Solanum lycopersicum: one gene and its partners. Each later gene encodes a partner of the first gene's protein in a complex. Links are inferred from orthologs where the notes say so. Each region holds a gene or a part of one and is shown on either strand. Other genes may lie near its edges.

Evidence for each region.
Region 2: mediator of RNA polymerase II transcription subunit 15a (region 1) and MED18 share a complex: the UniProt entries of both Arabidopsis thaliana proteins name them as parts of the mediator complex. The link is inferred for Solanum lycopersicum from reciprocal best matches to the Arabidopsis thaliana genes NRB4 and AT2G22370.
Region 3: mediator of RNA polymerase II transcription subunit 15a (region 1) and mediator of RNA polymerase II transcription subunit 16 share a complex: the UniProt entries of both Arabidopsis thaliana proteins name them as parts of the mediator complex. The link is inferred for Solanum lycopersicum from reciprocal best matches to the Arabidopsis thaliana genes NRB4 and SFR6.
Region 4: mediator of RNA polymerase II transcription subunit 15a (region 1) and probable mediator of RNA polymerase II transcription subunit 26b share a complex: the UniProt entries of both Arabidopsis thaliana proteins name them as parts of the mediator complex. The link is inferred for Solanum lycopersicum from reciprocal best matches to the Arabidopsis thaliana genes NRB4 and AT5G05140.

The regions. Positions count from the first base shown.
Region 1 is NC_090803.1:3,496,727-3,503,875, forward strand, and holds part of mediator of RNA polymerase II transcription subunit 15a, read left to right. Parts: coding exon 1-475; intron 476-818; coding exon 819-889; intron 890-2,318; coding exon 2,319-2,393; intron 2,394-2,841; coding exon 2,842-4,158; intron 4,159-4,245; coding exon 4,246-4,581; intron 4,582-6,039; coding exon 6,040-6,240; intron 6,241-6,368; coding exon 6,369-6,457; intron 6,458-6,789; coding exon 6,790-6,997; 3' UTR 6,998-7,149. UniProt on the Arabidopsis thaliana protein: Component of the Mediator complex, a coactivator involved in the regulated transcription of nearly all RNA polymerase II-dependent genes.
Region 2 is NC_090805.1:1,886,227-1,894,094, forward strand, and holds the start of MED18 (mediator of RNA polymerase II transcription subunit 18), read right to left. Parts: upstream 4,630-7,868; 5' UTR 4,236-4,629; intron 4,056-4,235; exon of another isoform or gene 3,982-4,055; intron 3,246-3,981; 5' UTR 3,224-3,245; coding exon 3,188-3,223; intron 3,022-3,187; coding exon 2,922-3,021; intron 955-2,921; coding exon 897-954; intron 816-896; coding exon 459-815; intron 353-458; coding exon 253-352; 3' UTR 1-252. Other genes in the region: ZNHIT (zinc finger HIT-type containing protein), read left to right, coding at 5,366-5,439, 6,447-6,478, 6,599-6,661, 7,851-7,868. UniProt on the Arabidopsis thaliana protein: Component of the Mediator complex, a coactivator involved in the regulated transcription of nearly all RNA polymerase II-dependent genes.
Region 3 is NC_090801.1:59,380,701-59,388,639, forward strand, and holds the start of mediator of RNA polymerase II transcription subunit 16, read right to left. Parts: upstream 4,104-7,939; 5' UTR 3,773-4,103; coding exon 3,453-3,772; intron 1-3,452. UniProt on the Arabidopsis thaliana protein: Component of the Mediator complex, a coactivator involved in the regulated transcription of nearly all RNA polymerase II-dependent genes.
Region 4 is NC_090809.1:61,264,620-61,272,515, reverse strand, and holds the start of probable mediator of RNA polymerase II transcription subunit 26b, read left to right. Parts: upstream 1-3,601; 5' UTR 3,602-4,568; coding exon 4,569-5,015; intron 5,016-5,622; coding exon 5,623-5,688; intron 5,689-5,789; coding exon 5,790-5,872; intron 5,873-6,927; coding exon 6,928-6,980; intron 6,981-7,103; coding exon 7,104-7,231; intron 7,232-7,326; coding exon 7,327-7,354; intron 7,355-7,463; coding exon 7,464-7,798; intron 7,799-7,878; coding exon 7,879-7,896. UniProt on the Arabidopsis thaliana protein: Component of the Mediator complex, a coactivator involved in the regulated transcription of nearly all RNA polymerase II-dependent genes.

The DNA of each region.
Region 1 (7,149 bases):
CAGAGGCTAGTGGGCCAACAGAACAACTATATGCATCAGCAAAACAACTTTCAAAATATGCATCAGCAGCAGTTGGGCTCTCAAAGTAGTATTGCTGGGGTCCAGCAACAACAGCTGTCTGGAAGTCAACAACCTGGTAACTCTGGCTTGACATCTAATCAGCACCCTATTCATTTGATGCAACAACCAAAAGTTCCTGTACAACAACAAATGCTGCAGAGTACTACAACCTTGTTACCAAATCAAGGTCAACAATCGCAGTCGCAGCCAGCACAACAGCAAATGATGTCTCAAAGTCAATCACAACCAGGACAGTTACAGCCACCTTTGGGTTTGCAGCAACAGGCGAATCAATTGCAAAGGGAGATGCAACAGAGGCTTCAACCATCAGCCCCCTTGCTTCAACAGCAAAATGTAATGGAACAGCAGAAGCAGCTATATCAATCACAAAGAGTCGCACCTGAAGCCTCTTCAAGTATGTATTTTTCTTAATCAAAGCTTTCAATTAGGTCTCATAAATCACTCTGTAGCAGTTTGTCATTCTTAGATATTTCCACCTTTCATGCCTTATATGTGTGAAGGTATAGGACTTCTACACTATGTTAACCACTGGTTTACATTTTCTTTATGTAAAAATGACTAGTACTTTCAGGCAAGTTTTGGGATATGAAAGGTGGTGGATATTTTAGATAATATTCATACTTATCTGAAATATCCAACACCTTTCATATCCCAAAATTTGCCTGAAATTTTAATGCTGTAAGGAGTCAAGTCCTTCAATATTTTTGTGCTATCCTTAACTTTTGGTTTATTTGTAGCATCTTTAGATTCTACAGCTCAGACGGGAAATGCAAATGCAGCTGATTGGCAGGAGGAGGTTTACCAAAAGGTATTTTTTTCGATGGTATTTCTATCTGCACGGCATGTTGAGAACTGAGGAAATTACTGGAAATTGTTGTTTTGGAAATTGACAAGTGAACTGTATTTTGATAAATTGACTGGTTGCAACAATATAAGAAGTAGCTGAATGCTGTGAAATATTTTTTGTGATTGATGGATTAATAGAGGAGGTTTATCAAAATAAGTATTCAGCAAATTCATGGTCATATCCATTCCCGCAAAGCACTTTTACGGTGTTCCAATTCGTAGAAGCACTATAGAATTAAGGTTATTGCAGCTTACTTGTAAGAAATTGATTTATTCTCAATTGAGAAGTGAGGTACAACAACTATTACGCCTCAATGTTAATCAAATTAGCGTCTGTTATATGAATTATTGTTGTCTTATGTTGCTTCATTTGAGCCCCTCTCAATCCAAAATTATAGCACTTGAATTTCCTTACACTTTCTACTGGCATAATTGGGAAGTGAAGTAAATAAATTGGTTGGTTACATTTATTTTTTGATGAAGTGATTAGAAATAGTTGAATGTTGTTATGTATTGTCTGAATTCACGAGGTGTGATATGTCCGTAAGTTTGGGTCAGGGTCCTCATAATATGTACCTAATTTGTTTTATTCCATGGAAACTAAAGAATTAATTGCTACATTAAAGGGTAAATCTATTCATGCAGGAAGTATATACTTGAATATATGGCTTAAGAAAATATTGTTCTTTGTGAAAAGGCACATCATCTGTATTAGTTGGTAACGGTTTTTGTTTCTGTTTTTTGGGATATCACGAGAAATTCATTGTTGCCTGTTTTGGAATGTGGATGATAATGGGTCTGTCCCTCTAGCTTTTTGTACTTAAATACCTGACTTGGTTTACTAGCTAGAAGTGTAAGTTGGAATATTTTGTGTTCGCCAAGAATAAAGATATAACATCAACATGCCTTTTTACTTGTGAAGTAAACTACATTGTTGTTATTCATTGTTTACCCTCATTTTGCTTTACTGGTAATAAAGGTGTAAAGTGAAAAAAAATGATGTTTTCACACTAAACAATATTATATCTCCCAGACAATTATAGAAAAGTATATTCTAATTCCTCCTGGTTGGGCTGGTCTATTATCACATCTTGGAACTAGACCCTTGCTGTTAGCACCGAGCAGAAACGTGTACCAAGAAGCTGAAGGAAGCAAAGTTCAGTTGTTTATTTTTTCATTCACATGTTGAATCATGCAAAATGGATTCTTTAATGAGTTTTAGTCTTCCGCTTCCACTTCACTTTTAACTTTTTATCTGGAAGGTTCTTTCATGAGGATTCTCTAGTTTGTTCTCTACTGTATCGGAAAGTTGATCTAATTATTACCTCTCCATATGGGAATGCAGTCTTGACATTTGCGCAATTCTGAGCTGATGCAAATTTTTAATGCAGATAAAGTCTATGAAGGAGTCGTACTTAGCAGAGCTCAATGATCTATACCACAAAATTGCTTCTAAAGTGCAACAGGTATGTCATCAACATTTTAATCCATTCTTATCATTTTTGGAGCAATTCTACTAGCTATGTATGGTGCAGCATGTTTGCCTGTGTTGAAGCGTTGTGTATGATTGTAAAGTAGAGGTGGAGGACACCATAAAATGAGCTATTTACACATATCTAGGTGAATACTGTGATGTAGATGCCACTTTTATGTTCCCTTGGGGAAGGGTTCAAGGCCTCCCTAATTCTTCGGGCAAGGGCTTGATTTGTCTAAATTTTAAGAGCGCTTAAGTCAGCATTCTGTTGAATTGGGCACCTGGCCACTATGTTATTTGTCTCTTTATGTTGGTTTTAAGTTTTTCTCCCTTTTTCTTTGCTGTGGGAGGGAGGTGTACTTGAAGCATGAATTTTAAAAGTTTGCAAAGGGCAAGAAACAAGACTTTGACTAAACTGATTTTTTTTTCCTGATTTTAAGCATGATTCTCTTCCTCAGCGTCCTCAAAATGAGCAAATTGAAAAGCTCAAGATGTTCAAGATCACGCTGGAACGCATTGTGCTTTTCTTGCGGCTTAACAAGCAGGATATTCAACTTTCTCACAAGGAAAAGTTGGCTTCGGTTGAGAAGCACATAAGTTTCTTTCTTAGTTCCAATAGGCCGCGCAGCAAGCCTTCTTCTTCTCCACTGCAGGGACAGCTTCCTCAGTCTTCCATGCAGCTTCAGCAACCACCATCTCTTGATGGTCAATCTAATCCGTCGATGCAACCCTCACAGGGTTCCATGGCAGCAATGCCTCAGAATAATCTCACCAACTTGCAACATAATACCTTGTCTGGTGTACCGACAATTTCCAACTCCCAGCAGCACATGATAAATACAGTACAGCCTGGTTCCACTGTGGATTTGGGACAGGGTAATTCATTGAACTCACTGCAGCAGGTGGCTACTGGCTCTTTACAACAGAATCCTGTTAACAGTCCTCAACAAGTTAACATGAGCTCATTAAGCTCACAAAGTGGAACAAACCCCGTACAGGCAAACCTCGGTTCCCTACAGCAAAATTCAAACGCCCTGCAACAGTCACTTCCTAAGCAGCACGAGCAGCAAATGTTGCAGAACCAGCAATTAAGACAGCAATACCACCATAGGCATATGCAGCAGCAACTTTTTCAAAGACAGCAGATAATACAACAGCAGCAAGCGAAGCAACAGCAGACCACGCTGTTGCCAACCCACCAGATGTCTCAGCTTCAACAGATGACTGATGCTAATGACCTAAAGATAAGGCAGCAAATGGGGATAAAACCAGGAGTTTTACAGCAACAGTCAGTTGGCCAGCGTGTTGGATCTCATCATCCCCAATTGAAGCCAGGAATATCTTCACCTCAACTCCATCAAGCACTGTCTCCTCAGGTTACCCAACATCCTTCTCCACAAATTGACCAACAAAATATGTTGGCGTCTCTTACAAAAGCTGGGACTCCTCTCCAATCCGCAAGCTCACCGTTTGTTGTCCCTTCTCCTTCAACTCCCTTGGCTCCATCTCCAATGCCGGGAGATTCTGAAAAAGTTGGTGCTGGCCTTGGATCACATACCACTGCTGGAAATATAATGCATCAGCAAGCTACTGTTGCTTCTGCACCTGCCCAATCCCTTGCAATTGGTACTCCTGGGATATCAGCCTCACCTTTGCTTGCTGAGTTTACTCCTCTAGATGGTACACATGCCAATGTCTCAGCTGCTGTTCCTGGCAGGTCAAGTGTTGAACAACCATTGGATCGCTTGATGAGAGCGGTTTGTATTATACCATTCTACTTAATTTGTATCTTCACTAATCCCAATAATCTGTCTTCATTGATTTGACTTGTTTATTACATTCAGGTTAAAAACATGTCTGACAAAGCATTGCAGTCGTCAGTTCAAGACATCTATTCAGTTGTCAGTATGAATGATAGAATAGCAGGATCTGCTCCAGGAAATGGGTCAAGAGCAGCTGTTGGCGAAGATTTGGTTGCCATGACCAAATGTCGTCTCCAAGCGAGAAACTACTTTACGCAGGATGGACCTACAGGAACAAAGAAAATGAAGCGATATACAACTTCCAACGTTGTGTCGTCAAGCAGCAGTTTGAATGATAGTTTCTGGCAGGTGAATTATTCTGAAACACCTGAGTTAGAGTCAACAGCAACATCCAATGCCAAAAGACCTAAAATAGAGGTAATTTTCTGCTGCCTACTTACAGGATAAAAGTACAAAACTGCACGTCCAAACATGAGAGCTCCGTGGTAGACTATATTGGTTCTTAAAAGAAAAAGGAGGTCCATTCAGGTGCATTTTAGAGTTAAAAAAGTAAAAACTGATCTTTGTCCATGACTGCTAGAGAGAGAGTAGAATGACCAAATGCAATATGGTGGAATATTTCTTGAAGTTTCAGCTTGCATGCAAACTGAAACTCGACTCAGAGTGGTTTTTAACAATCATTCCTTGTGCCTGCTCTTTCATTTTTATTGATTATGTTTCTGCAACTGGAACATCATCAACCCCAAACTACCACTTATAGTTCTGTTCTGAAAACTTTGATGGCTATGATAGAATATTGTATGGAAAAATCAAACATTACTTTATGTGAACGAGACATGAGTTTTACTTCTTTAGTACTCTTTCAGCTTGTGAGTATGTCTAAATAATCTGAACTAAGTATAAGACGACTGTCTAGAATAAAGACAAATGCATTTTATTGAATGCTATATGCAACCTGAGACTTTCAATTGGCTGCTCAGTCTTTGTACCAGACTGTCATTCAGTGTCTACTTATTCAACATATGATAATGCCCAATCCCTACCACAAACTTCCCGGCTCTTAAGTGTCCCTCAGCCTTACTGTGCCTGAGCAGCACTCAGTACAAATCTATACGGAAACAATAAAAATACGCCTTCTTTCTATATGGTTTCAATATTATCCCTTTTGTAGCAACTAGCGTGTGAATATATTCTAGTGGTGAACTAAAACCCTATCTATGAACTATTTTGACTTGAATTCCCAACTGCTCCTCAATTTATTGCTAGGCTCTTTAGCATTTAGATTGACCCAAAACACTTGGTCCTTGCATTTTCATATTGGGTTTTTTTTTATGCCTGGATTCACCCTACCTTTTTTGTGTTACTATAAACAATGTGAATCACTTGAATCCCACCTAATCATATGATAGAGTTTCGCATTTCCAGACGAGTAAATTTGTTCAACAGGAAAAGCAGAAATGCTAAGTGAAAACATTCCAAGCTTTGGCAGGATACAGGGCAATAGGCATTATAATTTTATAAGACTCGAGAATATAAAGCAGCTTTGCTTCTAGGCAGCATGTGAACCAACATTCTGGAATGGTGTTTTTATTCCGTAAAGCTTTGCATTTATGGGAAAATGAGTTATTTTTGTTATTTTGTTTGTCACATGGTTGCATTTCATCCTCTCTTTTTTAAATGATCAGACATCCAATGTTTGTTGATGTAAGATAAGAGTGTTTGATCACAAAAATGTTATCTTGTCCAGATGCTGATTTCCTTGATCTTGCATTCAAATTGATGTTTTGATCTTTGACAAGGAAATTGCTTTACTTGTCAACTTTTGGTTCCTCCAGCTTTACCTTGTGGATAACAGTAATTAGTACTTTATTGTAGGTTAATATAGCACTGGTTGAAGAGATACAGAAAATCAATCGGCAACTTATCGACACTGTTGTAGAAATTAGTGACGAAGGTGTTGATCCAAGTGCTCTTGCTGCTGCAACGGAGGGTGGTGAAGGCACTACTGTTAAGTGTTCTTTCACTGCCGTTGCATTGAGTCCAAACTTAAAAGCACTGTATGCTTCAGCGCAGATGGTAAGATATTGATCTTCATATACTGAACTTGTGTCATCAACTACTTATCAAAAAAAAGAAAATCTGTCATTAACTCTTTTACATTTTTTGTTTCATTGGTTGAATGATGGTATTTTACTTCTGTGCAGTCTCCAATTCAGCCTTTGAGATTGCTCGTTCCAGTTAATTATCCAAACTGCTGTCCGATTTTGTTGGACAAGTTTCCAGTTGAAGTTAGGTGAGTAAATTTGGCAATCTTCTTGATAAGAGCAATTATAGTCCTCGTTATAAATTAAAAAAAGTAAGAGCAGCTATAACATATGAATCAAAATAGCATTAATAGATCTGATTTTTTGCCGTATTCATTATACCTTGTTGATTTGTGAAAAAAGGTCTTACAATTTGAATTCTCTAATAGTCAATCATAAAAGATTTTGTACAAGTGCCTTTTGATCTGCGTTAAGATTATCAACTAGGTTTCGAAAATCTCCTTATACAATCTTATAGTCTCCACTTTTAACTACTATGTGATGCATTTGAAAGCTGTGTTTCAACTATTTTCTTCTGCAGTAAAGAGTATGAAGATCTATCCACAAAGGCCAAGTCAAGGTTTAGTGTCTCCCTGCGAAGTCTTTCACAGCCAATGTCTCTAAAAGACATAGTCAAGACTTGGGATGTTTGTGCTCGTGCTGTAATTTGTGAATATGCACAACAAAGTGGAGGAGGAACCTTCAGCTCAAAGTATGGGTCTTGGGAGAATTGTTCAACTGCAGCATGATCAAAGATGGAATTATGAGGTTTTCTTCAGCTGCCTTTGGCCTTGCTCTCCTGCTGTTACCTCCTATTTACTGATGGTGATTGCGTAATTGTCGTCTTCTTGAATTGAATGCTGAGATTCATTTTTATATACTGGCTGTTGCTGGATAAGCT
Region 2 (7,868 bases), on another chromosome or scaffold:
AAGAGTCAAACAATTATAGATCAAAGAGAGCACTGCTGTGCTTTGTTTTTCGCAATTCAGTACAAAGGGTATTATAACTCTATTCTATGAATGAGCAACGTTGCATATCGATGATCAGGTATTTAACGTCAATTACAGAAGGACAAACATTGAAGTTATTGGGAAGGAGAATGGCGAAATACGTCTCATTCTTCAGCTATGATAACTGCAACAGAGATTTAAGACAGAAATGGTACTGAGTAATTTTTCCATTCACTTTGTGCCTCCACCATCAGACATCAGAGATGCAGCAGCTGCAGCTGCAGTAGGAACAACCCCTGTTGAGACACCGGGTTTTGACAAATGAAGGAGCCTGAAAACAAAAGAAACCATTTGTATGTTTTACTAGACCATCATATACAATACCAGGTACGACTAGCCAATTCTTATGGATAACAAACCAAGATAAAGATGCTTACGGTGCAAGATATTCACAGAAGGACGTTACAGATGCAACAACTTCATTGTAATTTTCAGATGAAGCTGGTGCAGTCACTTCAACTAGCTGTATGCCTGGAGTCACAGGCACTGCATCATCGATAGCATGAGGTTTCAACATCTTGTTGATGGATGAAACTGTTACAGTTATCTGGGCACCTCTTTGGAAATGAAATGCAAAACCAACTCTCAGCTGCTCATGGTCTAGCTTGTAGCCAAGTGAATAAAATAAGCGTAATGCATTCTTGCTTATTTTGCTTTCTTGCATTGGTCTCACCAACACTGAGATTTGTTCAGCACCAGCACCTCTCATTGGACCACCAACATGCCTAACAGTCCTATGTTTAATCACATAAAAAAAAAACTTAGGCTTCAAGTGTCCCAATAGATAGGGGCTCAGGACAAACCAGATCTCTTACCATGCAGGTTCTGGCTGCTCAAGATCACATAAGAGCCGTATTTCTGATGCTACTAAGCCTGAGAATGGTAAGCAACAGACCACACGGTTAAAATAACCCAAAGACAAAGAGCAGGAAAGGAGAAAAGAAAAAATCGTGAGAAGGCATAAATGATTTTTAGACAAGATATGATATGTGATTGGAGTATAAACAGTTGATCATGCACGCAATATTTGGTCCATTTTATATCTCTCAATTAGGTGAAAATCAGATATCAATTTGAGTCCACACTTTTGCTCATTTTGTTTAGGTGATGTCGCATGACATGCTAGAAAGCAGTTCGAGAGGATTTGGGCTGTAAACAACTCAAAGATTAGGTGCTCAGGCACCTCACGGTGTTGAAATAGCTCCGAAACAACTTGAAGTACACAATTGTGCAACCTGAGAACCAACATTTTGCAAACACAAGGGAGTGAGTGTGCCTTGCACGCCCTGCTGCTAATTGCACACTACCTAGTGAATGAGAACTGTAAGTGCACAATTTCGGAATTCCAAGTGGTTTGAACCCTAACCTCTCAAGTCCTAAATACTCGTCCTAAGCTAGGATACTTGAGTTTTTGCACGACCCGTGACAGCATAGAGGTGGGAAGAGAGATCCAACACTAGAATTAGAGCTCAAAGGAAGAGATTGACGGTTTGAGGAGTTTTTCTTCTCATATTTTACTCTCATTATAATTTTTGTGATTTTAATACTTCATTATTTGGATTGACCGCTATTATAAAGTAACTTTCTGCTAGTTAGATTTAGATGGATATCATAATTTAACTCTTATAAATTAATTCTCTAACTACAATTATTAATTTGATTCAAACCATTTGTTCTGCAATTCAAACTTCTGATCTAGAGAGGTCACTGGACTCCATTATTTTCCCAATTACGTTTGAATGATCATAGTTTGCTTTTTTTCCTTGTCTAACCAAGAGGAGAAATCAGTCTTCAACATACTTTATGAATTGTGATGATGATATGACAAATGCGTAGACAACCACAAGGGGTCAACATATATTTGTGGGAGCCAAGGTTAATTAATCAACCGTCTTCCATATTTAAGGTATAATAATACCTTGACTATTATAATAAAAAGAAATACACTTAGCCAAGAAGGTTATAGTAGTTAGATGTAATCGAGATATACACCAGTGATTTGGAAGGTGATTAGCTGAAGGTGCTCTGAATTTAAGGTTTTCTATTTCCTTAGATATTACTACAAGCGAGAGGAATAATCAATGTTGAGTGTAATAGAGAGAGGCACTTATAACTTAGAGATCAATATTGATTGGTGGACAGTGAACACCATACACTAATCATAAGTGAAGTCTAGATTCAACTCCTTCTGATTAGAACAAAAAAGTCTATATTCAACTCGTTTAATGAACTGATGGATACTCTTTCACCATCATTCATGTCATAGAACTCTTATTTATATTTCATTTTAGTCAAAAACATTCCGCCTGCTTATCTGATTACTCGAATAGTAATTGAGCAACACTAATTAGGATAGCAGAAACTCAATCCTTGTGGGATCAACATCTGCCATACTATCTTTAACAGGAAACAAGCATTGTTTTAATACTCCGACGTTACCCTCATCAACATGTCAAAGAATCACATGTACATCATCGCAGAGAATCACATCTGTATCATCGACAAAACCATGATAGGCAACACTTTGTTGAAAACAAGGCACTCAACAGTCAACAAGTGAATGAGCAAAAACCATGTGGTCTCGACCTATAAATTAGATGTACTGAAAGTGAATCATACTTGAACCTAATTCCATTCAATAATTGACATGCAGCACCACAGTACAACTAGAATAAGATGGACCATAAAAAAATTATCAGCTATGTACAAACTCAAAGGTGAGAAAACCTCCCTACGAATGCATAGATGGTTGTGAGCATTTGCCTCAGCCACATCAGTACATACATGACCATTGGGTTAGTTCCTAGTTCCATAATAGTTCAAAGAGAAAATACACTTACCTAGGTTAGGGACACTTTTAAGGCACAGTTCATGAATCCTTAAGCTTTGTTTATGTACACCACAAAGCCCTTGAAGCAGAATTTCCAGGGCCTCGACATGCTGCAAGTATGATTAGCACTGTCAAGATCTTTTCAATAATCAATTGCCAAAAACTGTTTCAGTAAATGCCGTAGTATACCTTTTACAAGTAGCATACCTTCTAAAAGATTGAATAAGAAAAAAACGAGAAATAGGGGGAGGTTTTATCATTACTCCAGGAACTTACTTGAGTCTCAATAATTCCCTGAACCACACACTCCATTCGCACTTCAATTTATTCAAACCTACATGCAAAGAACTCTTTAGAACATACCTATGAACCAAAAAGATATTAAGTTTAACAGAAGAGTAACAACGAAAAAGCTAACACCTAACCAAAATCATAACAAAGTTGACACTCTTTGTATGAGAAGTGCATTGCTTGAAGATTAATGGATCTTAATATGAATTTAGTTTTGGATTGAGGCTTAAAGTTTTTGCCCGGATTGCCCCTATTTTGGGGTGGTCTTCAATTATTGCCTTTTCCATCCATAATTAGAAATTTAAGCATTTGGTCATTACTTGTCTTTTGGTACACCCAAATTCTCACCAAGATTTTAAGCATGAAACTTCTAATGATCCAATATGCACCAAAAACTGTCAAACTTGCTCCTTTCATTAGGCTATGACCAAACAACCTTAAGTTTTACTAAGTTTCTTCAAAGAAATAGGTAGTAGTGCTGGAATGGTATCAAGTTTTATCAATGAAGTCACTCCACCATGGGTGATTCTTTTCATGTGGAAAATTAGTCACTTGGACACATAGCTTAACTCCTGTTTGGCAAATATTTTCTACATACGTACAACAACATATATACATTCTATCCTCCCCATAGTCCACTTGTGGGATTTCACAAGGTATGTTGTTGTCATTGTTATATGATGGAGCATGTGCTCAGCAAAAACAACGAATGACTACAAAAATGGAGGAAAGAAAGAGAAAATGGAAAAGGAGAAGAATGGGTGAAGAAAAGACAATACCTTGGACTATATGGTATATGTTGCCTTTGGTTTTTTTCGACTATTTTGGCATCAAAATATGATTTTTCTAGTGCCTGTACAATTTGATCTTTGTTTAACATATCTTTATTGTTATACATCTGTTTTTTCAAAGTTTCTACATCAAACTCCAAATTTTATCATCTATACACACTATTGTATGACATATAAAACACAATCATTTAGCATTGTAGAACTAAACATAAAACATCAGAGCAAAAAATTGAAAGAATTACCTTGAACAGTTGAAGCAATCTCACTTTTTCCCCCAATCTGAGCTGCAAAAATTCAATTAAAAAAAATAGTTCGAAAGCTTAAACAGGCAGACCTAAATTAATCACATAACAAAAAATCAACGATAACAACGAGCCAAAGAAAAAAAAATTCTAGCTAGAAATCTAGGTTTCTATATCAAACAAGGTCCAATTGTAACAAAAAATCCAGTTTTCTACATCAAACAAGGTCCAATTGTAACAAAAAAATCTAGGTTTCTACATCAAACAAGGTCCAATTAATCACATAACAAAAAATCAACAGTAAAAACGAGCCAAAGAGAGATTTTTTCTAGCAAGAAAAATATGTTTCTACGATCAATTGTAAAATTAAGGTTTAGTAATGCAAGCTATGGCTGAGAGAAACCAAAACAATTAGCAGTAACAGAGATAATATGGTGATTTAGTGCTCAATGAAGTGGTCGAAAATATCAAAAAAGTCGAAACTCAAGACATAGGGTTGGAATAATACCTATTGCGAAAAGTGACAAGTATCTCGTAGAATCAATTGAAAATATTAGCGGATTCTTTTCATACGAGTGGATAAATGTCTGTTACGAAAATTTGATTAGTATCTTATATAATTAATTAAAAAATATTAATGGATTCTTTCTATAGGAATGGATAAAATAATTTGATACCTTATACGAAAAATTGATTATTACGAAATTCTTTGATAAAATGATTTTGATACCTTTTACGAAAATTGATAACACGAAATTCTTTCTATATGAATGGATAAAATAATTTGATACTTTTTACGAAAATTAATTATTGCAAAATTCTTTCTATATAAATGAATAAAATGATTTGATTCCTTTTACGAAAAATGATTATTATAGAAAGTGACGAGTATCTCGTAGAATTATTAGAGAAAAGTGGTACTTAGCAGAAGAGAAAATGGTTTGAAAATTTTGGACCCGAATTCGAGTTTAGGCCCATAATTAATTAAGCGACTCAAAGTATAATTTGATAAAATTGTAAGAACCCGATTGAATCTAAACTCAAAATTCAGGGACCAATATTGCAATTTTACATTCCACCTCTTCCAGAAAAAACCCTAAAACCTCGATAACGAAGAAGAAGAAGAAATAATGGGATCGAAAAAATGTCAAGTATGTGATGAAGCACAGTCGAGATACAAGTGTCCCAATTGCTTCATCCCCTTGTAATTATATTTCCATCTTTTTTCATTCTTTGAAATTTATTTGAATTTTAATTCTGGGTTTTGAGTTTGTTTTTAGTTTAAACTGAAGGGGAATGGATATAGATTATTCATACAAAATTCAGAGTAAAAATTTTTATATGTAGAAAAACATCATAATTGTAGCAAATAGAGATATGAATTTGTTGATAAGAAACTTAGGTTTCGTTTGGTAACTAGTTAGAATTATGCAGTTATTTTTTATGTCCGGCATAAAATAATATATAAATTTCTTCGTAGCTTATATATGTATTAGTCATGTAGCTTTCTAAATTGCGGACTTTTATACATTGAAATCATTGCAAAGAACCTTAGGTGTCGTTTGGGAGCCGGTTAGAATTATGCAACTGTCAGTTATCTATCTTATGTCAGGCATAGAATAAATACACAAATTTTTCTCATAACTTATATTTGTATTAGTTATATGCGGATTTCTAAAGTGCATATTTTTATACATAAATTTGTCGCAAAGAACCTTAGGTGTGTTAGGTAGCTGGTTAGAATTATTAGCTGTTTGTTATCTATCTTATGCCTGGCATAAAATAATGCATAAATTTCTCATAACTAAGGTGAATTTCTAAATTGCAGACTTTTATACATGAATTCGTTGCAAAGAACTTTGAAGTGTCGTTTGGTAGCTGGTTAGGATTATGGAGTTGTTAGTTATCTATCTTATGCCTGCGGATTTCTAAATTGCAGACTTTCTTTACATGAATAATTTACTTCTTTAACTAAATACGAAGCGCTGTATAATTAAGTTGCCTCTGTACTAGCTATCAAACGATAGCTAAAGGTTGAACTCATAAAACTTAAGTATTGGATTCCCTGTGAATTCAGTGAACTCAATTTGTTTAGTATTGAGGGTGTAACAGTATTAGTATTTATTGGGTTGTAATTTATGGGTTATGTTACTGGAGATTTGAGTATTGATAAACCTAAAAGTTCTTTTTTTGGTTGTTTTGATCTTGCAGTTGTTCTTTGGTCTGTTTCAAGAAGCATAAAGGTATGTTCTTTATGAACATATTATGTGAATCTAACTATTCTTATGGGTTATACTTGTGGTTTGTGTATTTTATAGTGATAAAAATTGGTCTTTTCATGAGCTTATCTGTGGGTTATGCAGAAATTCCATGCGGGAAACCAGAACCGGAACCCGAATCAGAACCACTTTCTGAGGAAAAACTTGGTAAGGATGGCTTCTCTAATAAAACGGTTGAACTTTTTTTCTTGTTGTATTTTTGTATAACCATTATAAGAATGTGAATGATATGCTTATATTTTTTCTCACTAACTGTAGTTTAAGTTTATTGTCTTCGTTAGTATCTTTTGTTGTCACTTAGCTATCCTTTTTGTCGGTGATGGTACGTTATGTTCAATAACCATTTGCATTTATGGTGATAACTTTGATACCTGACAAGACGTCTCTTTGATGAATGAGTTTCCGGAGAAATCCAAAAGAAAAAAAAGAAGGCAGTCCAGTGCATGAAGCACCCCGTGTTCATGTAGGGTTCAAGGAAGGGCTGCACCCAAGGGGTTAAGTGTAGGCGGCCTAACTTGATGCGGGCATCATTGTTAATTTCATGACTCAAACCCATGACATATAGGTTACATAGAAACAACTTTACCACTGTTCCAAGGTTCCTGTTGTTTCCTAGGGCAATCAGACCTGCTATATGCGTGTAGTTGTAAATGTTGTGTTATTAGACTAGTGCCGCTTCCAACTTCTTCGATGTAGCATCCTCTATTGGGTTAGTTTGCTATCATAGTCCCGCATTTTATTTTTTTTTGAGGATAGTAACACAAATCATAGTCCCGCATTATACATCTTGCTATTGAACTATTTATCATCAGTATCTTGTACATCTTCCTTAGATAAATTAAGAGATCTATAAAAGGATGCAAGAAAGTGAAGATCCACTTTTTGGGTATTTCTTAAAAGCTGTTGGTTTAAATAATGGCTGCAAAAGGAGGAGGTTGCTGGGGTAGATGGGAGGAAACAATTGTGGAGGTTTCAGTGGAGGGTGCTATTTGGTTCGTGGAGGGTGCATAGGGTTTGTAATTGCTGGTTTTGGACGTAATGTAAATGTGGTCGAGTTCCATGAGCTAAAGAGATTCAGGCACTGTTTTGTTATTTTCTCCATTCAGCACTAGATATTTGTATTTGCACGAAATGCAAGCTATTGTCACTTGCCCTCTTGCCAATTGTTTCCCATTAAAAACTGACTTGTGTAAACAATTTACACTTCTGTTCCAACTTGTCTGCGTGAAAAGTGAGAATTCATCTGGTAGAATTTTGGCACTATTTATTGTTTTCATTTAATATGCATAATATGCTAATATTGAGAAAGTAACATGCATCACTCTATCTCTGTCAGCTCCTGCTCCAGCATTGC
Region 3 (7,939 bases), on another chromosome or scaffold:
CTCTGTCCACCAAGACTAAGATATATGGGAAGAATCACCTAGTTTTTTTGTCTCCACTGAGATCTCATGGCTCTCAACCACTTCATTGACCACTAGGTCATAACCTTGGATGCTTTCAAAAAAGAACTTCTATGCCAAAATACTCATTCCATAATGAACATCCAGGAGATGAGAGTTCTCTTTTGAAACTGATAGGTTGCTAAACAATTTTAGACAGGTTGGAATCTTTATCAAGAAGAAAAATCAGACATGTCTGGAAGATTATCTTGACAAAAAGTATGTTTTAAACATTTATACAGTGAATGTGCACAGGAATGTTATACAAGGAATCTTCAAAGCTTCTAGTAGAGAGACTCAAGAGGGTGATACATAGCCTGGTGGATAGGCATCAGATGGCTTTTATCAAGGGCAGACAAATTATGGATGCCATTTTGATAGCTAATGAATGCATAGAGACCAGACAAAGGAGTAATAAGCCAGGAATTGCATGCACGCTGGACATACAAAAAGCCTATGACTTCTTAAACTGGGACTTTCTTATACAAATGTTGGGAAGTATGGGTTTTGGGGCCCGATAAGATGGATAAAACATTGTATCGGCACTGTCAGGTTCTCTATACTTGTAATAGAGTACCCACTGGCTTTTTCCCGAGACAAAGGGTCCTCTTTCCCCATTTTTATTCATCTAAGCTATGGAAGGAATGAGTAACCTCATTAATACAGCAAAGGGAAAAGGATGGATCAAGGGGTTCCAAGCAGGAGAACTTTCTAGTTTAGAGATAACTCATCTATAATATGCAGATGACACATTGGTATTTTGTAGAGCTGAGACAAAACAAATACTGATTTTGAGGGTCATTTTTGTCATTTTTGAAGCTGTATCTAGTCTCCACATTAACTGGGGGAAAAACTTCATCTATCCTATCAATGGTGTGCTTAATACAGAAGTTTTGACCAGAACACTAGGAGGCAAGGTTGGGGAGCTTCCAACTACTTACCTAGGTATGCCTTTGGGAGCTAAAAGCAAGTCCAGAGACATATGGAATGGGGTACATGAGAAATGTGAAAAGAGACTCATTAACTGGAAGAGTTAGTACTTGTCCTTGGGAGGAAGATCGACTTTAATTAACAGTGATTTTACAGTGTGATGGATGCATTACCCTCTTATATGATGACAGTCTTCCTTATGCCTGCCAATGTATCTAATAGCATTGATGCTCTTAGAAGAAATTTCTTATGGCAAGGCAATGAAGATAAGAAGAAGTTTCATCTTTCTTTTTTTTTTTTGAGAATGATACTTTTTTTCCTGTTAAATGGAAAGACCTGATGGTGAGTAAAAACACAGGAGGCCTAGGCATAAGAAATCTAAGGAATCAAAACCAGAGACTAATGATGAAGTGGTTGTGGAAGTTTGCAAATGAAGATAACATGCTCTGGAAAGAGGTCACCAAAATATGGCATGGAAAATATGTGGATGACAAATGATAAGTACTTCATATAAATGCACTGTATGGAGGAAAATCAGAAATCTATGGCCAGTGCTATATCACAGAACCAAGGTAGAAGTGGGAGATGGGTCAAAGACACCCTTCTGGGAGGATAAGTGGAATGGATCTGTCCCTATGAAACAGTTGCATCCTGAATTGTTTACTTTATGCCAACATCAATAGGCCACTGTGGCTACAATGTGGACTGGACAAAGATGGGATTTGTTCTTAAGGAGGAACCTTCAGGATTGGGAGATTGACTAAGTGGCAGAATTTCAAGATTCAGTAAGGTCTTTCAGCAACCTCACTGATAAGAAGGACTTATTAGTTTGGCAAAATGATACCAAAGGTCAATTCTCAGTAAATTCAGTGTATAAGAAACTCAACAAGAATGCTGGACAGGAGATGGAATGGCCATGGAAGATCATCTGGAAACCAAAAGTACCCTACAGAGTAAACTACTTCATGTGGCTATTAACAAAAGAAGCAGTTTTGACTCATGAAAATCTAAAGACAAGAGGCTATCAGTTGGCTTCTAGATGTACTTTATGTGGAGAACATGCTGGGACAATTAACCATCTTTTTTTGCATTGTACATGGCCATAACAATTATGGAGAATGAATGTGCATCTGTCTAAAGGGAATCAGATGGGTGAAACCAGGGAGCATTAAAGGAGTCCTGAGCAGCTGGAATAGAGATGGCAATGCTTCTGACAAGGAGAAGAGATGGAAACTTGTCCCGGCATGTATTTGGTGGACAATCTGGAAAGAGAGAAACAGCAGGAGTTTTGAAAATTGGCAGAATAGCTTACAGAAGATCAAGATGGACTGCTCAGCTCTTTTCTATTTTTGATGTAAACAAGATATATTAACTAGGACGGAAGATATCTTTGATGTGCTAGATTGTTTATAAGCAGCAGTTTTCGACTAAGACTGTTTTATTCTGTAAGTTGTAAAACTTTTGAAGGGGAACTACACTTTTGTTTTAGTATACCTGTGGATATATAGACTAGAGTTACCAGTTTCAGAAAAAAAATCTTCACCACTTTCTACAATGTAGCAAGATAAATAGAGAAACTTCTGTCTTATTCTCTAAAGTTCCCTTCACTGGATGGATTAAAACTAACTCCTCTATTAAGATTTAGGAACAAATGAGGAAGTACTTCAGTCTCTAACATAGTAAACCCCTCTGGTCTCTTGTTAAAGGTACTTAACCTATCGTCTTATGTAACTTATTAGAAAAAAGAAGATGATTACCCCATTGAGGGCATAAGACGCAATGGCAAAGCAAATTTGAAATTTCTCAGATTAGCATGCAACTACACTTACCAGGATGATTCTCTCTCTATCTAGAAAGTGAAATAACTCTAGGAACAAAAATACTGAAACTAAAAAAAACATTGAACTTTCCCTCTGTCGTTCTGTAAGACCATAATGAGACTGCAGTTTCTGTTTTTCTTCTCATATCTTCCATATTCCACTGAAACTTCATTAAAAATAACATATTTTTGACTAATTCATTTTGCATAGGTGAACTACTGCATGTATGAACAAATTATAGGGCCCAAATCCTTATAATATATCTAGAAAGTTAAACTTTAGTGATGATTATATTGGGAGCAGAATGTTCTAATAATAGTATTGGTCGGCAAATGATCGGACTAACAAGTCAACACTTCGATCAGCAACTAGCTATCACTTGAGGCAGTGAGCTCAACGTACAGCAACTTTAGAACTCAATTCAGTGACTTCCACCGCCTCAACAGTTAAACTGCGAAGTTCCAACAAGTTCTCCACTTCCAGCATAACTAAGTAAACCTCTAACAGACTAATCTCACTTTTTCTGCTTTTTTTAAATTCGATCGTATCCTTACTTTAGTTATAAGGAAAAAAAATATTGATATCATCTTCTAAGTCATGTAGCCAGAATTGAGATGTAGCATAAACAAAATTTTAAAAAATCACCTGAAATTGCGGCAAAGTTCAGGAACACTCATTTTATGAAGCAAATTTGACCTAGGTTGTTTGAGCCTAATACAAAAGACGACAGCAGGATTGACAGTATCCTCATCCATGGGATCATCGTCAACAGAAGAGACCTCCTTCTCCGTCACCATAGCCACAATTGCAGCAGGATGATCGTCGTCGTCGTCTTCAATAATGATATCCGGTTTCTCGTGAACCTTATTAGTAGAAGGTTCTAGAGAATTGGTAATCACAGAAGAAGACTCTTCCTCCTTCTCCACTTCAGTATCTTTAGCAACAGGTGGTTGTTGATTGTTCATTTGAATAAACCAAAAAGGCCCAAAAACCCTAATATATAATATAATTATATATGTATACGTATATAGTGAGAGAAAGGCAGAGAGAGGGGTTAGAGAGAGAAGTGGTTGGCCGAAAAAAAGTCTTTGCCAGTTGAAGGCGACAGGAATCACTATGGTGACTGTGTGGGGTTAGGGTTTGAGTGGGGGAGGAGGAATGTGAACGGAGATTCCAGCTAGTGGGGATTTATTCGGCTTTTCATTTTACTATTAAAACTACTACACTGTTATAAGTGTGGAAGCCAAAATCACTGATAACGTTTTTCAATTGGGGCTGAGTGGGGGAGCTTGTGATAAGACGGGGTAACCATTAAATTAACAAACAATACTACTATGATAAAAAGGTTGTTTTATCTTTACTTCAATAAATTATGTTAAATTGAGTAAAAATATTCTCTATTCATTAATTTAGGCAAAAAAAAATATTAGATTAATTACGGAAATCTCACATTTTAATTTACTTATTATTATTATTACTTATCAATTTTATAAATTTTTTATTTTCGCTCATTAAATTAATGTATTCTGCACATTACATTATATCATGTATAAAATGTACTTCGGGCATTATACTAGAGTATCTCGCGCATCAGATTAGTTTATCTCGCACATCAAACTAATGTATCTTACGCATTAGATTAATATATCAGTGGTTATATTATTGTATCCGTTTTGAGAGATTTTTGTAATTATAAACTTTTAAGAAATAGATTATAATTTTGCCTTAATTTTCTGTAATTTGCCCAAAGATATTCATATAGTCAAAACTTTAGTCAAAAAATTACCATATGGCTACTTTTGACTCAAAAATGTTATTTTCTTATTAAACATTCTTTTTTTAAACTTTTCCTTAAAAAAATTGTGTAAACAATATAGAGTAAAATTTTAGGTTTAGCAAACATAAAAATTATATTTGTATGTTATAGTTATAATTATATATGGAACATCAGATTTGTATATATCGTTGACAGGAGTGTCAGATTTTTGTATAAATCGTTGGTAGGCCCTCGTTTTTATAAAGGGCAACTTTCACCTATAGCAAACATAAAATTCATATTTGTTTGCTATAGCAAAATTCGCATTATTGCGTTTTATATCAAACATATATATGTATGATTCGTTATATATACAATTGAAGCAAATTGTATACAACGAGAAAGAGATAAATTATATACAATTTGAATTGTATAAAACGAGAAAGCGAGAACGACAAAATTCAATTGTATACAACGAGAAAGAGATAAATCATATACAATTTGAATTGTATAAAACGAGAAAGTGAGAAAGGCGAAAAAGAGACTTGTGCAGAGAAAATATAATTTAATCGAGTTGTATAAAACGAGAAAGAGAAAAATTATATATAATTTGAATTTGTATACAATGAGAAAGGCAAGGGATACTTGGACAGAAAAATACTTGTATTGTATAATTATAAGTGTATTGGACGAAGATGTATGTATTTGCATGCATTTATACAATCTTCTCTCACTTTATACAAGTAGAAACACAATTTATACAATTCTATTGTATAAAGCGAGTGAGGCGAGCGACAGGAATATGCGAGCGAGAGAGGAGAGAGGTGAGAGAGAATATGAGAGAGATAGAGACTGACAAACAGTTTGTTATGGAACACAAATAAATTAAAGGATAGCTACTATATTTATTTTATATTATTAGTTTGTCATTTTATACAATTATCTCTTTTATAAAAGCATAGCGATTGTATATGTATTTCGGTTAGATAATTATATATATTTAATTATTATATTTATATATCAATAATTGTGTTTGTATATCTGCATAAAATTTGAATTTGTATACAATTAAATCAAAATAAGACAATTGTATATCAAATCTTTCTCTTGCTTTATATAACACAAATTATACATCGTAATTTGTATAATTTAATTTTTATAAAGTGAAAAATAAAGAAAGACAAAGAGAGAGTCAATAGAAGAAGATCGGTAATAACTTTAAGTGAATAGGAGGAAAGGTGCTATTTTGTCAATTCAATTGTTGGTCTTCTTACATATCAAGCCCAACTTGGTCCATGGGAAAATCAAACTGGAAGGCCCAATTGTATATTTGACCCACTAATTTTGTGAACCAGGTTGAGATATCTTGAAGTAACAAAATTGGCATTGTCAAATATCCAAACAATATGGAAGTCAAAATTATTATGCCTTTTGTTGGTCATTCTTTTTCACCAAGAGAAAGCTGTAAAGATTTTTTAGGAAAAAAAAAATTTATCAGAAAATTCGGTCAAAATTTAATTAATGAGATTTATTTTTTATGTAATTTTATTTTTTAAATATTTTTATTATTTTGTTTAGTTTTAATACCTTTTACTAAAAAAAGAAAAAAAATCAGTTTATTTTAAATAAAAAAATATTATAATTTTTAAAATTTTCTGGCCATTTAGTACTCTCGATTTTTTATTGTCATAATTTCATGATTACACGGGTGTTTTGAAGTAATAATAAAATTATTTTTGTTTGATATTTATAAATTGCGAGTTTAAGCCAAGAAATTATTCACTATGTGGCCTTTTACCGCCGCAAGGCTGGCTAATCGAAACAACTAATCAAATGACATTCCCTTAGAAGTTAGAACGCACTTTAGAGACAATGAAGCTAGGATTTTGAGTTAATGATTTTTATATTTTTGTAAAAAGAAAATTATTGAGTTCTTGATAATTTATTTAATGCATATATTAAGTGATTTTTTTTAAAACACGAATATAAGTTTGCATCGAAGACTAAAGATACTGAATTATAATGAATTCGTAGGCAGAAAACTAGCTCTACCACTAATATCATCCTTCCTGATTATCATGTGTGAACATAAAAATTATTTATAAAATATGAAATCGAGAAGATAATGGACTTAAATGTCATATATAAAACTTATTTTTTTTGCTTCTAATAGAAATACTATTTTCTTAATTTTCACTAAACTTGTTTTCCTATCAATTATATTTTTTTTTATCAATTAATCATGGAAAAAATGATAAATAATACAATTTCTTTTTTTTTTCTTCTTTCTCTTGAGCTTTTTCAATCAACATTTAAATTTATCAAGCATGGACAATTATGTGTCTAATTAAATCGAAAATAACAGGACAATCATATGTCTTGTCTGATATAATAAATATGTACAGATTGTCAAATTATACTACTACAAATTGATATTATCTTGATGAAGTCCAAATTATATTTAATTTCGAAAGTTGCTATGGGAACTGATAAAGACAGAATTGGGTAAAAGTCAAATGTGATTTATTTTATTTTATTTAAAAAAAGGAATTACTATTCTCAACTGGAACAAATATTTATGTCTATCTATCAACTGTTTAAATTTGAGACTTGTTAATTAAATTCAAAAATAAATTTAAAAGTCCAAAATGATTGAACTTGAACCCAAATCATCGTTGTCATTTGCCAATGACGCTTTCAAAACTAGGTGGAGAATCATTAATCATCATTAACTAGATTATGCTTAGATCGCTAATGACAAAAATAACTATTTTTATTTTTATTTATTTTTTTTTTTTAAAAAAAAGGTCAAACAAGAAACATGGGATCCATTTGAGAAAAAAAAAATATTTTTTTAATTAATTAATCCAACTTCTGCTTAACTTTTGTTTGGTAAATATTGGGTTTAATCTAGTCAATTATAACTTCTTCCTTGTTTGACAAATATCTAAAACTAGACATAAATGGTCGTGCTAGACATAGGTAGTATTTAGATAGTGAATAAAATTATAATATGATTTTTAAATATTTTGAGTTGTTAATTACTAAAATTTATAGTATTTTTATGTAATTTTTAAATAATATATATTACTTCTCTTACTCCAATGTATAGTACTTAGTTTTTAAATTACATACTATATGTTACTTTTTTGTTTATTGCAATTTTATAATTTATAATATTTTTTACGTAAATTTTTAATAATATATGTTACTTCTCTCGTCCTAATGATGTAGCAAAAATAGAATTTCAAAAGCAATCAAATGTTGTTAATTATTGAAATTTACAAGACTTTCTATGTTGTTTCCAAATTAAATAATGCATGTTATTTTTTTATCCTATTTTACATCACACATAGAGAATAATTTTATGAATCAG
Region 4 (7,896 bases), on another chromosome or scaffold:
TAAAGTTAACATTATTATTCGAAACGCGTAGACTATAGTATTGGAATTTATAATTTCTTTATCACTAACATGTCCTAATTAATATAAGTTGACTTCATGATGAATTATTTATTGGCAACAACTATTTGCCATTGTTTTGGGCATATGTTCAATTCACACGTAACAAAGTTAAAAGGATCATTAAAAAAATAAAAATAGTATATTTTAATTTATTTATCTGATTTAGAAAAATAAAAAAAATGAATTTTATTATCTTAATTTAAAGACATGCCTCAATTTTATATTAGTTATCCAATTTTTTTACACTTTTCTAAAAAATTATAAATAAGAAGAATAATTTTATCAATTTATCTGTTTAATTTTTTTTGATAAAAGCTTTATAAATTTATTTACATTTTAAATAAAATAACCACAAAGGTTACTTATCCAATATTAATGTAGGAAAGGTGCAATTAAAACTATAACATTATAAGATCTTTTGCAATTATTGTCCAAATTTTTCTTAAATAGTGATCATATGTTCATCTTTTCTTGGTTTTTCCAAATGATGTTTAATACCCATATATTTTGGATTAGAAAAAAGAATTTGGCCAGAATAATATTTTATTTTTTAATTATTTTTACTTTTTCAATTTTAATGCTTTTTACCTAAAAATGGAAAAATGATTAGTTTATTTAACATAAAAAAATATATTTTTTTAATTTTCTGAATATTTAGCACTTCTTTTTATATTTACGTTGGGTAAAACTTTATTAAAGTGGGAAAGAGATAGCATTATCTATCAAAAAAGAAATTTATACTCGACAATTGAACTCAAAATATCTGATTAAAAAAAACATTTTATTCATTGCACCTCATTCATTGATGATCAATCCATCCTAAAACAAAAATAGGGTGTGTTTGGTATGCATACGAATATGATTTTTAAATGTTTTGCTCATAATTGTGAGAAATATATAGTTTAAATCTAAACGTTAAAAGGGAATTTAAGAGGTTTAAAAGTTTGAATTTCTCTTACGACGAATGATTCAGATTTTTTAATATTTTTATTTAGTTTAATCATATTTAATATTAACAAAAAGAAAAAAAAGTATTTCGCCAAAAAAAAATCATCATTACATTGTCATGAACCAACAATATAAACCCATTAATAAATAAATAATTAAAATAACGTTATGATAGTACATTTTTTTAATAAAAAAATAATCATGTAAGGTAAAAAAATTCAACATAAAAATAGGAAATGGGATGTGAATAAAACAAGCAACATAGTCATATGAAAAATGCATTGGAAATATAAATGAAAACAGAGTTTTTGTTTTGTTTTATTGAGTCGAACCGAATATTATGTTCTAAAAATAATTTAAATCTTTCATAATTTTTTTATATTATTTGATTAATTTAATTTCTCTGAAAATTGAAACAAAAATCTATTATACAATACTAGCAACAGAAATTAATAAACTTCAACAAATTCAATGAATAGAGAAAATTATATGACACTTTTTATCATTGAATTTAAGGATAATAATATTTTTATGAATTTCTTTTTCTAATTCAAAGTTAACCAAAGAATGAAGAAGTCCTAACTAAATAATAATATCACATAATAATAACTTGCTCATTAAAATATAATTTATATATTATGATTAATATATTAAAAAAAGAAAAAGGAAATAAAACAGACAAAAGACAAATTGGAGAAAAATGTAAGACTGAACACTCTAGATAAATTAAAAAAAAATTACCCTTTCTATTTAAAGTAAATAAAAAAATAATATTTTTTTTTAAAAAAAAAGCTCGTAAACGAAGGTTACAAACTTTAATGTGCTAAAAATGTCTTTAAAATACGTGTTGAAATTAGACGATATTTGACTAACTAATACTAATTAGGTTAACTTAGGGAACAATTTAAAATAAATACATATTTAAATCAAATATTTGACATTAAAGGCACATATAAATTAAGATATTAACAGAGGACGAATTTGTTCAATTTCACTAATTATGAGGATATTTTTGAGATTTTTTCATTTAAATTTTAGTAACATTAGTCGAGAAAACATAATAGAGAAATAAAATGTCATATTATTAGTTGCACAATTAAAAAGTCCAAAGAGTCAAGTTTATTCAATAGTTTAAGTTATAGAAGATTAATGAAATTCTAATTGAATTATAGGTATCAAGTAACAATTATTTTGTCACCAAAATATAATTTTGTAAAAAAAATATTATGATAGTGCAATTTTTTAAAATGAAACACGTAAGATAAGAAAATCCAACATAACAATGAGGACCGAGATCATATAAACGTTACCTCGTTATTGATAAATGCATTGGAAAAATAAATAAAAAATTAAAATTTTGTTTTGTTTTGGATCAAACAAAAAAATTCTGTTTTTTTAATGAAGTTTAATTCCTTCGTATATTTATTTAGTATTATAAATTAAATTCTTTCGAAATAGAAAGAAAATCTACTATACAACACTAGCAATAGAAATTACAAACTTCAACAAATAAAAAAAATTATATGGTACTTTTATTTACAAAATACAATGCAAAAATAAGTAATTTGTATGTTTATTAGGATTTTAAGGATAATAACATCTTTATTGAAACTCTTTTTCTAATTTTAAGTTAATCAAAGAACGAACAAGTCCTAAATAAATAATTATAATAATTTCACATAACAATAACTTGTTCATTAAAATATAAAAAGAAATATAAATTTATATATAACATATTATGATTTATAAACTACAAAAAAGGAAACAACATGAAAAAATCTAATATAACAAAGGGTGGTATAAGACTAAAACAGGAGAATTAATTTTTTAGTCCACTTGCTATTTTTAAAAAGGCAAAGATAAATTGGAGAAAATTTAAGTTAAACTTTATATAAATAAAAAATTTACCTTTTTTATTTGAAGTAAAAAAATAAAACTCCAAATGAATAATAGTATCAAATAACAATAGTTTGTCATTGAAATTTGAATTTAATATAATATTATGATATTTTTTATAAACAGACAGTATTATGATAAAAAAATTTAATGTAAATATGACATTTTATACGAATCAAACGTAATAAGACTTTTTCTTAAAAATTAAAATAAACAATGTGAATATATATTTATCCGTATTAATTAAGCATCTTATTATTTTAACAACTTATATTTCTTTTTATATAAAAATAAATCAATTAAAACATACTTTAAATATTTTTTTATTTTTTATTTTCTTACTTTTAATATATAAAAAATAACATTTTTTTCTTATTTTACCATCGATATTAATTGCTTACTCCTTGCTCATTTTTCAATATCCAAGACTATACATCATTCATCAATTAATATATTCACAACAAAATTATTATTATTATTACGAAATATATTAAAAATAGATAAATAAAAATAAATGAAGAGGATATATTATTTTGTAATTCCATAAAAAAAAACATATATAAAAAAAGAAAACTACTTCAAAGCAAAGAGATAAATCACTTCCTTAACTTGAAAATAAAAATCATTTCCTTTCAGATTTTTCTTTTATTGTTTTTCTATATTATGTCACTATATTTATTTATTTCTTATCATCCTTCTTTGAACTGAACACAGTTAAAAATAGTTTTTCTATGTCAAAGAGATATGAATAAAATCTATATCCATATCATTTCTTTAAACTTTACTTATGAACCTATATCAAATATGTTATTCTCATCGTTATCGTTGTCATCATCAAAGTTATCCTTATGAATTTCATCCATAAAAGAAGTTTTCAAAATCCAATTTCCATTCTATATACATATCAGAATTCGATTAGTTCAAATTTCACACTTATTCATACTTAAAATATATATTTTATATACTGACAATCTCTCGAGTTAAAAATGAAGGAATCAGAACCATCTCACCACGATCCATGCTAATGACCGAAGAAAATTGATCCTTATCACCTACCCCTAACCCCTACCCCCCACCCCCAACAGAGAAAAAACAATATTTTTTCTTCCTCTCTCTCGTGTCTCTTTGAACCAGCACCTTGTATTGCTTTTTTTTTTACAGAGAGAGAAATATAATTAAAATAATAAAAGATAGCTAGAGAGAGAAAATCTTCTATACTTTTTTTTTAACATATATTCTTTTTCTCTGGAAAAATTTCTTTCAATCGGAATAATTTTTTCTAGATTTCTCTTCTTATATCTCACCAAAAACTTAATCGGATTTTTATTTAATTTTTTTAATTTTGTTTTGTCATTTTGGGTTTATAGAGTTTCTATCATATGGATTTTTCCTAAAAAAAAAGCATAAAAATCTGTATCCGATTGCATTTTGCAGAACTGAATCGCCGGTGACACTGATTATTCAGTTTCCGATCATCGGAAAAAGTACCTAATCGGAAAACCAGAGGTTTTTATTGCTAAAAACCTTGTTTCCGATTAGAATTTGTATGATTTTCTTGTGGGTATAATTAAAATCGGATAAAGATTGAATTTGTATATTTGGGTATTGATAAATAATTGATTTTACGATCTGGGTTGATTTGTTTTTGCTCTGAATCATCAGTTATGGCGAAGAGTAGTGGGACTTTGGATAAATGGAGGGACTATTTTCGTACTGCAAATTCGGATATATTTGATATAATTGAGTATGCAGTGATGGTTGCTGCTGTTGATTGTCCAAAGGAATTTAAAATGAGAAGGGATAGAATTGCTGAAATGTTGTTTACATGTAAAGTTACTATGTGTTTTGGTTGTGAGAAAGTTGATTTAGCTGTACCAATTGCTGGTAATGATGATGAAGGAAAAATTAAGAGTAAGGATGAGTTTGGTGGTAGTAAAGAGAGCAAAGTTAACAGTAGGATAGATCATCATGATGTTGAGATGAATGTGAATCAAGTTAGCAATTATAGTTATGGAGAAGCTGAGGCATTAACTGAGGAAATGGAGGAAGAGACTCAGACTTTTGGGGAGGTGATGAGGATCAAAGATGTCATTGATAACAACCAAGCTGAGGTTCATTTCATCTCTATTGAATTTTGGTTATACTGTTGATTTGAAGTATTTTGCTGTGTTTGGATTTGTTCAGTCAAGAATTGGTGGACTCTGTGTATGTGAATTTGAAGTTTGTGTACTTTTGGGGTTGATCAAGAAGAAAATCTTGATAATTGAGCTTAAATGTTGTTAAATTTTTGGAGTTTCTGGTGTTGTATGACATATAACAATGGTTACTTTTATGGTTGAATTTAATGATTTGAAATTTCTGTTCTTGTGGGGTTGATCAGGAAGAAGAATCTTGATAATTGAGCTAATGTTGTAAGATTTTAGAACTTTTGTGGTTGAATTTGATGGTGATTCTATTTTCTCTACTAGTGTCTATAACTGGAAAATCTGATATGAGGTTGTTTTCATGTCACAGTTAGGAAACCTTTATGCTTTTCATTTCCTTTTTGCCCCCTTTTTGTTCCTTTGATCTAGTTGTACAAGGATGTTGCTTTCTTTAGCTTTAAAACAATGTATGAAGCTACTTTTAAACTCTTTATATCTTTTGCTATTTCACTTGCTTGGTAGTTTTGAGCTTTCCTCTAGTAATCGGGTTTTGAGTTATTGTTCTTTTTGACAGTCTGCAGAGTTGTTTGAGTGCTTAAGAAGGCTTCAACTAATGGCTTTGTCTGTGGAGACTTTAAAGGTTTGATCTTTTGACGCTTCCAAAATTTCATCTTCCATTTATTGTGGTTACTGTTTTTTAAATTTATTCTGGATGGACATAATTGATTGCTTCTATATCAGGCCACAGAGATTGGAAAGTCGGTTAATTCTCTCAGAAAGCACAACTCAAAGGATGTTCGGCATCTATCTCGGACATTGATTGAGTAAGTAACTCTTGCTTTATTGCTGAAATAACTGTAAGAATGTCGTCAAAATATGTATGCACAACACAGTTCTAGTAGTCTGATCCGGGGTATCTTTAATGTGGCTGAATTTGTTTTATCGCAAAGGTTTGAACTTTTGTCTTCGAGTTGAACTAACATGTCGTATTGGTGGCTCTGGCAGCTTGCTTTGTCGGTTGTAGTTTTGAAGCTATTATTACTTTTTAACGCTTGCAACTGTTTGTCGCTTACCGTTTATCTTTACCGTAAAATTAAGATTTCATCATAACTCAATCATCAATGCATACTAATGATGGTGATTGCTTCATTTATCGAGTGCTGAATTTGTTTTTATCGCAAAGGTTTGATCTTTTGTCTTTGAGTTGAACTAACATGTCTTTTTGGCGGCTCTGGCAGCTTGCTTTGTCGGTTGTAGTTTTGAGCTATTATTACTTCTTAACGCTTGCCACTGTTTGTCGCTTACCGTTTTTCTTTAATTGATGTTATCTTTAATGAAGATTCCATCATAACTCAATCATCGATGCATACTAATGATGGTCATTGCTTTATTTATCGAGTGCTGAATTTGTTTTTATCGCAAAGGTTTGAACTTTTGTCTACGAGTTAACTAACATGTTGTATTGGCGGCTCTGGCAGCTTGCTTTGTCGGTTGTAGTTTTGAGCTATTATTACTTTTAACGCATGCCACTGTTTGTCGCTTACCATTTTTCTTTAATTGATGTTATCTTTACCGTAAAATGAAGATTACATCATAACTCAATCATCGATGCATACTAATGATGGTCATTGCTTTCTTCATCGAGTGCTTCGCAAAATTTTTGTGACTCACTTTGGTAGTCCCTTTTTATTTATCAGAAGTATATGACTGACCTTGCTCCTTGCCGCTGTAACTTGAGCTCTAGTTTTGCTGTTTTGTATACCTTTTTTTTTATGCAACTTTCTGATCTACTGGTTGGGTACATCGTCTATTTCTATGGAGTTGCTTTAAGTTAGAATTCTTCGCAGCTTATTGCTGATCACATTTTAATGGATCACAGGGATTGGAAGGTCTTGGTAGACGAATGGGTGAATGCTACTGCAGCCTTTGCAGGTTAATTGCTCAAGAGTTTCTTTTGCTTCCGTTTCAATCTTCAGTAAAAAATGAATCTCTCATATGTCGTCATTCGCAATTCTGAGCTGAATTTTGAACTGATTTGTTATTTCTTGCTTAAAGGTAACGAAAGCACTCCAGAGTCTATGAAAGCATCTGTAGTTGATCAAGACGAGGAAGGACTTCCTTCCCCGCCTTTAGATGACTTAGCTTTCTTTTCTGCTCAGACCACTTCAATTGAGTTGTCACAAGTATGATCAGCTTACCCTCTTCTAGAAAAATTGATTATTTTGTTTGGTCGGCTGCCACTGACTTATTTTCTCTTTGTTGTTTGTGAACAATGAAGTTCTTTGATGGCATGGATGATGATGGAAGTGAGTAGAACTTGTGTCCATATTCTTTCAATATCCCTTCGCTATTCGGCTCTTTATTTGGATTCCCCTCTAATAAAGGTATATTGTTCCAATTGGGGATTTATTTCAGATCCTCGAAACAGTGGGGGATTCAATGTGAACCGTGGAAATGGCCGAAAGCCATCACTAGGTAACCAGAACATTCCTCTCCAGAAGAAGCAGTCTGCTGATTGCTTCAATGCTTCTCCCAAAGAGAACAAGGGTGAACAACAAAAGAAACAGGAAGCTGTAATCAAGAAACAAACAACAGTTGCCAAACCAACTAAGCCATCTGGAGGTGAATTTGGGCCTGGAAGACCGACAAAACCAGCCTTGGAGCAGAAGCTCAAGGTTAACGAGATGAACTTCCAGCAGAAATCTGATAAAGGCACAATTCAAAAGAGGCCTGTGGCGTCTCAACAGAATGTGAGTATCTGAAAGAAAGTTATCTTCTGATTCATGTGTAAAGCTCTGATCCCTATCTAATGTGTAATTTCGTCCTATAGAAGCTTAGACATTCAGAT